Ovis aries: one gene and its partner. The protein of the gene in region 1 binds, or shares a complex with, the protein of each later gene. Links are inferred from orthologs where the notes say so. Each region holds a gene or a part of one and is shown on either strand. Other genes may lie near its edges.

Evidence for each region. The genes of interacting proteins can lie anywhere in the genome.
Region 2: the proteins of RHEB (region 1) and PDE6D are in contact, whole or in part, in a crystal structure (PDB 3T5G), measured with the Homo sapiens proteins. The link is inferred for Ovis aries from reciprocal best matches to the Homo sapiens genes RHEB and PDE6D. Residues at the interface, in NP_005605.1 of Homo sapiens: Pro2, Gln3, Ser4, Gln57, Asp77, Gln176, Gly177, Lys178, Ser179, Ser180, Cys181; in NP_002592.1 of Homo sapiens: Ile53, Leu54, Cys56, Val59, Val80, Gln85, Cys86, Leu87, Glu88, Glu89, Trp90, Ile109, Glu110, Ala111, Ala112, Pro113, Gln116, Met117, Met118, Leu123, Tyr149.

What each region holds. Positions count from the first base shown.
Region 1 is NC_056057.1:115,675,351-115,679,352, reverse strand, and holds the start of RHEB (GTP-binding protein Rheb), read left to right. Parts: upstream 1-1,202; coding exon 1,203-1,254; intron 1,255-4,002. UniProt on the Homo sapiens protein: Small GTPase that acts as an allosteric activator of the canonical mTORC1 complex, an evolutionarily conserved central nutrient sensor that stimulates anabolic reactions and macromolecule biosynthesis to promote cellular biomass generation and growth.
Region 2 is NC_056055.1:233,481,996-233,486,045, reverse strand, and holds the start of PDE6D (retinal rod rhodopsin-sensitive cGMP 3',5'-cyclic phosphodiesterase subunit delta), read left to right. Parts: upstream 1-1,250; 5' UTR 1,251-1,413; coding exon 1,414-1,463; intron 1,464-4,050. UniProt on the Homo sapiens protein: Promotes the release of prenylated target proteins from cellular membranes. Modulates the activity of prenylated or palmitoylated Ras family members by regulating their subcellular location.

The DNA of each region.
Region 1 (4,002 bases):
CCTGAGCGCCGGCTCTCCGGTCTTAAATCCCCCTGGAAGGACGGTTCTGGAGAGTTCTCAGCCAACAACGGCGGGTGTTTTAAGTCTGCCTTACTCAATTAGCCATGCAGGTGTTGACAGTTAAACCTGCGTCGACCCGGCGCTGTTCCTTTCCCGTGAGGTGTCTGGGATCCGCAAACGCCAGCGTTAAGACCGGAACTGAGGAGATGCATGAAAACTGAGGAGAACGCTTTTTTCATGAAACACGTTCACATTTTCAATGAACGCATACTCCATTCTTCCCATGGTCCTCCACCCATGGCTGATGCTTCGTCATCACCTACATCCTCCAACCTAGACTCACGAAAGCCAATGCAGCAATTTTAAAACAAAAACAAAAAAACACACACGAGGAAGATATCAGCCAACCAAGAGCCCAGCAAGGCACCCGCCACCAGCCTCGTGCCTTTTAAGGGCTCAGCGGGCGCGAGTTCAAGGACCGCTCAGCGGCCCACCAATCACCGCACCTCCCACGCTTCGCCCCGCCCCCTCCCCGCGATCTAACCAATCCCTGGGGAGATAGCTTCTTTCCGCCCCTCCCACCCGCCTCCAGCCCCTCAGAAGCTCTAAGCCTCCAAACTTCACCGGCGCCCAGCCGCGCGTTTGTAGTCGGCGTTTATTTTTAGCTGCCGGGCCAAGCAGCCCCCGCCTCCGGGCCCGCCTCTTCACCGCCCGCCCCCCCAATGGGAGAAGGAGTTTCCGTCGCGTCAGCGCGCGGGCGGATGGGAACTGTCCAATCAGCGCTCGGGGAGAGCTGGCGTCATTAAAAAGCGGCGGAAGACAGTGGGCGGGTCATGACGCAGCGAGTTTTAGTCGTGACTTTTCCAGGGGCATCTCGGCGTCCCCTCTTTTTCCCTTTAAAGTAAAACACTTCCCGACGCACACCCCGTGCGTTTGGGGGAAGGGGCCGCGGCCGCGGGAGGGCGGTGCTGACGCGAGCCGCCTGCGGCGTCGCGCGGTCACGTGGGCGTGTTTGGGGGCGGGGCCGCGCGGCGGTTCCGGGCGGTTGGGCGCGCGAGCGAGGAGCTGAGGCAGCCGCGCCCGCCCGCCCCGCCCCGCCCCTGGATGCCGCTGTGCCCCGGCGCGGCCGCCGCCGATCGCAGCGCAGGAGCCGCCGCCGCCGCGGTTGATGTGGTTGACCCGGGGCTGAGGAGGCCGCCAAGATGCCGCAGTCCAAGTCCCGGAAGATCGCGATCCTGGGCTACCGGTCTGTGGGTGAGTGGCGGGCGCCGCGGCCTCCTCGCTCCCCGGGCCCCGAGCCTCGCCCGGGGCCCGGCCAAGTTTGGGGCCGGCGCGGCCATGTGGCGGCCGCGCGTTTCGTAACCGGCCGCCCGCCGTCGCCGCCACCTCCATCTTGGAGCGGAGGCCGGCGGCGCGGCGGGGCCCGCGGGGCAGCGCGGGGGACGCGTGTGGGAGGCCGCGGGCGAACGGGCGCTCGGGTCGGGCCGGGCCGGGTTGGCCGCCACGCCGCCCGCCGCAGGGCCCTCCACAGCCCCGGAGTAGCACCTGTCCCCCCTCCCCGCGGGGAGCAGTCCGTGATTGTTGCTGGTGGCCTTTTCCACCCCAAATTAAAACCCGTGGGGCTTCAACAAAGGACGTGGCTCCTTAGCCGTAATTTTTCTGTCTTGTGAAGTTTGAACATTTTAAAGCAAACCCGGGAGCTCAGAGGACGTTGGCTGCTGAGGGCCAATTTCCTAGGAAGAAACTCGAAAGACCACCACCCCCCCGAAACCTCCCGCTTCGGAAGCCTCCCAAGATGCTGCCAGCGACCGAAGTAGGAGGGCAGAAAAAGGGAAATTTCTGGCCACTTGGTGTCCTGTCTTTTCCTTTGGGGAGGAAAAAATAAGGTCAGATACTTGTAACCAGAATGTCGAAGTAATTCAAAAGTACCCCTCCCCGCACCCCGCCAAAGGTTGACATATATTTGAAACTGAGAGTGGCAGTCGCTTTTTCCACCCCTAACAGAGGTGGTCTGGGGTGAGAGGTGGTGGACGGGATGCCAGAAAACGAGGGAGGAAACAGAACCGTTGAACTTAACCATGCTTCAGGGTGAGGTTTTTATTGTCTTTGACAACCGGAAGTCTGGAAAAATTACTTCTTCTGTGTTGTTTTTAAGAAGTAGCTGTCCAAGGAAAAGGGCGCACTTGACCACAGTGGGGTGGGGGTGGCGAGGGCAGGGGTTCGGAGTCTGTGGTGACTGCAGAAGGAGGTGACACGAACTGCCCTGGGAAAGCTGGTAACTGCCTGCTCATTGGCCGAACTCCCCGACTTCGCTTTCCTTTCTGCTTCTTCACCCCCATTTTCCACGGTCGGTGCCAGGGTCTGTGCTCTTTGACCAAGATGAGCTGCGGCGTGCTTACTCATCCTTTTATTACCTCTCTTTGTCAAAGTGCTGGGGGGTGGGGTATCAAAATGAGAGGGTGAGAGACTCTTGTGTACAGATAAGGGGCGCCAGGAGCCCTGGGGGTAACTCCTGTGAGATGCGATGATCGTGGAGGGAGGGGGAGGAGAGGTGACAGTCTTAACAACTGCAGCCGTCAAGTCTCCGGGCGTCAGATGGAGGCTTTTCAAGTCTCTAACAGCCCCGAATGCACATATGGAACCACTGCATCCCCCCTTTATTGACAGTCTGTGTCTCAGAGCCTTTGCTTCTCTGTTCTCTCTCTTTTCCTCCTCTGCATTGTGAAGAGTGGGACTCGGACATATCCTGTCTCTTGAATGAGTTCTATCTCCTCAGAGTGCCCATAGTTAAAGGTACCAGTGTCTGAATAATCAAGTTACAGGTGACATGAATTACCTGGGCTGCCTGCTTTCAACTGAAGAGAATGTCCCAAACATTCTGGCTTATTTACCCCTGGAGATTCTTGAGGTGGTGATTCCAGTCGCCAGTAATCTAGTCTACCATTTCATCACTGTTTGTTAAAGAAGTTCTTTAGGTCCAGTTGAAACCAATTTTGTCTTTCCTGCCTTCTAATCCCATCCTCTTGAAGACCCAGAGGTGACACGTCCCCCGTTTGCCTTCACTTCACGTTTATTTTAAGCCACTGCTCACCGAGATGCTCCTGTGCTGGATCAGCCTCCAGGGGCACCCAGAGCAGGTCCAGTCCCTGTTTCCTGTGCCTTCCTGTTGCTAAAGCCTGCTCCATTGTCTCCGTGTTTATTTTCATATGTGGTGATGATTAAAATGTGTTTTGCACAGGTTCAATGACTACCAGTCTTTGCATTTGATTTTACAGTTGTTTACCTTTGTTAGGAACCAGGACTTTTTGTAGTTTGTGGGCTTTTTTGTTTTGCCAGCATCAGAAACGGAGATAGTTCCCTGATTCCACATCCTAGTCACTCTTCAGAGAATAACTCAGACTTCCGAGTTCACTGACCTGTCTGCTTGCCAATGATGCTAGGGTAGAGAAATCTGAGTACCTGTATTCCTAGGTTGTGTTACTGTGATGCTAAACTGTAGAGTCATATTGACTGGTGGGAAAAGAAGGTGGGAAAAGCCTAAGCCTGAAACCGCATCTTTCTTAGAATATTCTCTTGACTAAATATCGTATGCCAGTTTAATTTGTAAAATACTTGTCATTCTGAGTTTATTTTAAAAGTTTGGGCTTCCCTGGTGGCTCAGAGGTTAAAGTGTCTGCCTGCAATGCGGGAGACCCAGGTTCAATCCCTGGGTCAGGAAGATCCCCTGGAGAAGGAAATGGCAACCCACTCCAGGATTCTGCCTGAAGAATCCCATGGACAGAGAGGCCTGATGGGCTACAGTCCATGGGGTCGCAAAGAGCCGGACATGACTCTTGTTTGCCTTCAGATGAAACTACGAAGTGCAATGACTGTTTTACTATTTGGTGTTCAAATTTTGTAGTTATTTTAAAAACACTGGAAAAACTTAACAGTGAGAAAAACAGAATTCTCAGATAATTTATACAACTTTTTTTTTGTCCTGAAGCACCTTTCCTGTTATTT
Region 2 (4,050 bases), on another chromosome or scaffold:
AGAATGATTTCTGTGGTTTTCTATGCATGGGAAGATGCAAGTGTCTGGGCTCATTGAAATCATTCCCTAGACATGCATCTTAATTATCTAGAGCAAGTTCCTATTTTTCTCCCTCCTGAATCCTCCTCTGGGCCCATTTTCAGCGGTGGCTTCAGTGGCTGATGGCTTGACGGTGGGCAACGTTTGTTGTTTACTGAAATGTCAGGCAACATTTTTTTGTCCACAGTATCCTCTGGGTGTTTCAACCTTGATAGGAAAACTTCACCAAGGAGAGGAAGATCGCATAGCCATGTTGCTAAAAATATCACTACCCTAGTGTAGTGCAAAAAGCCCAGACTGCAGGAGTCTTAGAGCTGAATTTTAACTCTGCCCCAACTTTCTGTGACCCCGACAATCTCTCTGCCTCTCTGGGCCTCAGTTTCTTCATACGTAAAATAACAGAGGTTAGATTAGCAAATCCTCTGAATTCTGACTGCATTGATAGTCTGAGTACACAACCTTTACATCTCTTGGTCCACCGCAGGAGCACACCAGAAATCCCTGAGAAATACCTAACCGGCTCCCCAGGCCAACAAACAAGTACGGCTTGAAGGAGTCATTCTGTTACATTCTTTTTCATGATTTAATCAGTGTTTGTGTTTGTTGTTTCAGCCTTACCATGATTTGCAGGAGATTTCTGGGTTCCATGTAAATAGAAGTTACTTGTCTGTGGGCTGTCATCTTTTGAGGCTGAAGAGGATCTTCCTGCCCGGTTTCAACCCCTGGGATTCAGAAACCACCAAGCCTACAAGCAGATTTAGGGGTTTGCGCACACTGCGCGGCACACTGGAATCGAAGTTAGAGGAACTGAGTGCGGGGAATGCTGGGATTTGTAGTCCCTGGGTTTTCTGTTGCGTGCTGGGATCTGTGGTCCCCCCGGGCGCCCCCTGGAATGCTGGGAAGTGTAGTCTCCACCACATCGCACAGGGCAACGGGCTGTCATCTCAAAGCCCTACTGTACCCAGCCGCAGGAGAGCCTCTGCAAATCTGAAGCAAACTCTCCTCTGGGACAAACTCTAGGTAACCACGCCGAATGAAAATTTTGTCCTACGGGACTTCCCCGTGAGGGCCCTTCCCATTGACGCTCTTCGTCCCCCTGCGAAGCCGCTGAGTGTTTCTATTGGTCGATCAAGATGCCAATCGCCGAGGCAGGCTTCCTATTGGCTTCAAGGCGGGCGCTCAGAGGCTAGAGGGAAGGAGAAGGGATAAGGAGCGGGAGCTGAGGGGAGGGAGAGGCCGGTTTGGGTCTGGCCGCTGCCGCTGTTCTCCCGAGGTCTTCAGGCCGGGCTGCGGCTCCGTCCTCAGTTCCTGGGCACCGTCTGCGAGGCTCCGCCAGGCCAGCGTGAGAGAGCCGCAGGCGGCGGCCGCCGCATCATGTCAGCCAAGGACGAGCGTGCCAGGGAGATCCTGAGGGGCTTCAAACTGTATCCGCCCGGGAGCGGGGCGGGGCCGGGAGGACTCGGGAGGCGGCCGCTCGCTGAGGAGACGGGCCGGGGGCGGGGGCCGCGCCAGGTGGGCACCCGAGGAGAGGGTGGCGGGAAAGGGGAACAGGAACGGCGTCCGGGGGCCCCCGGCGGGACCCGGCGCGGGAGGCGGGGAAAGGGGCGTCTGGAGGAAAGGAGGGGACGTTGATGGGAGACCTGTGGGTAGAGGCAGAGGAGCCGCCGAATGGGGCTGGGAGAGGCTCCGGGCGTCGGAAACCGGAGTCGGGGAGGCGCGCTTGGGTCCGAGAAGGGAGGCCGGGAAGGGGCTGCGGCCCGTAGGGGAGAGCCGAGGGGGCGCGGTGGGCTGACCTCGAAGCCCAGCAGCCTCTGGCGGGAAGCCCACCGGGCAGCAGGGGGAAAAGTGACTTGGAGCGAGTGACCTTGTGTGGGACAAATACAGATGCTGGTGTTGAACTCTCAATGCGAGTGGGGTTCTCGCATCCCACTCCGCACCCCCCAACCCCACCCCAGACGCCACTCCCCTTCTTGTTTCCACAACTTCTCTTCCTCACTTGTGGCTCCTTCCAGGGCTGGAGCGGAGGAAGGTTGGGAGTGAGGAGTCCGAGATGGACCTCACCTTAACTCTGTCTTGGCCCTTGGAGGCGTTGGACGGTCGCTGAGTCTCCCTCAGCTCCTCAGTTGTCTTTCTAGCGAAATGAGGACCCTAGATGTGTGCGTGAGATGCCTTGAGGCGTTTTGGGTTTGCACTGGGACTCCTGGTGAAGGGGTGTGTCTGCTCGCACAAGTTTGTGTGGTTAAGGCGTAGACATGCTGGAACTGTCCAGCAATTGTTTGATTACGTTGGGGACACTGTAGGGTTTAGTAGGGTGTAGAAATCATTGCCTCGGGCCTGTTGTGGTGCTGCAAATACTACCTTCTTACCATAGTGAAACTGTGTTTGAATGGAGTGTTTATCTGTGACCATTTGATGCAGATGGAAAAAGTGCAATCTTCTCCGTTCCAATCTCACATTTTCCTGCTGACCTTAATCTCTTCTCACATCCTATGTTTACAATATGGAACATTCTTCAGTTCGTCTCTTAATGAACATATAGTCATCCCTGTAGGGCTCCTCCCCTGGAGATTTAGTCAAGCACTGTTCTCTGAGCTGACTGTGTTTCCACAGAGTCCATTTCACCCCTGCAGATTTTCATTGCCTTGTCATAATCAGAAACCAAGTTGGTAGTAAGTTTTAGAACCCAGCAGCAAAAAAGTTTAACAGAAAGTTTTGGAGGTACAAATTAAGTTTTTCAAAGGGGAACTGACCTACTATGCTTTTTTTTTTAAGGGAAGGCAATATTACCTAAACTTACTGCCATTCATGATAAACTTTAAATACTTTCATGCAGTGAAGTTTCCTAACAGCCTCTTTTACATATTAATAGCTTCATGTACTTCCCCTGTTTCTCTTCCTGATAGTGCCTATAGATAGGAATGGCTGAAGTGTTACAAAAGCTATGACGTGGATTTTATTTTTCCCTTAAGTAATTTATATTGCTACTTTACATTTATGCTATAAACAGTAAACTGAAGACTATAAAGAATTGAGAGATTTCAGAAGCCATGTTTTTATCTGATTGGAGTTAACATGTTGCTGAAAATAAGAACGGGTCTTTCAAACCAAAAAGGGAAAGTTTGAGCTACTCACCTTCAGTCTTGGTTCTTGAATGTTGTTCAAGAGAAACTTTGGCTCTTGAGAAAGAGGCAAAGGACAAATATGGGAAAGAATAGAAAGTAGAACCTGTGTTGTTTAGTGCATCACGAAACAGGCTTTCAGGGAAAATTTGACCGGGGCTGATTAAATCACATGGGGAGCAGCCACCAAGAAAATTTAGCGTGGAGACAACAGAATATCCTCCTCTGGTAGCTTTTATTCACATCCGAGAATTAAAAGAGAAAAGAAAAGAGTTCTAGGATTTGTTACTACCTTCAGGGAAAAATAAAATTAATATTTTAATAAGAAAATACCTGTTATCCACCTTTTATTGTATAAATTGTTCCAAGTATCTTTTTCTGTAAGAAGAGTCATTTCTACAAAAAGAAATCACCATTTTATTCTCCTGCCAACAATGTTGATAGTACTTATTTTCCACATTTACTGTGTTGGTCTTTTTCTTTTTGTCAGTTTTAACAGTAGATGACATCTTGTTTTAACTTGTGTTTCCCAGATACTGCTATCTCTGGAGAGGTAACAGCATAGTGTTTAAGAGATACGCTGGCTTGAGAGCTTTACTATCTGCAGTGGAATTCCAGCTCAGGTTGTGTGTCCCTGAGGAGCTTCTTTTAACTGCTGTTACAATTTCCTTAGCAGTTAAAAAAGGATAAAAATAGTATCTTATCTCCTAGAGTTATTGTGAGCATTAAATTAGTTGATATCTAAAGCATTTAGCCAAGCACTTGATGCCTGTAAGCACATTGTATTAGCTGTTATCGCTGCCATTGTTATTATTAGAAGTCACAAAATCTGGCCATTTCTTTTTCTTCTGTGAATTGTTTGTTGATTTTGTTTTTGCCCATTTTACTATTG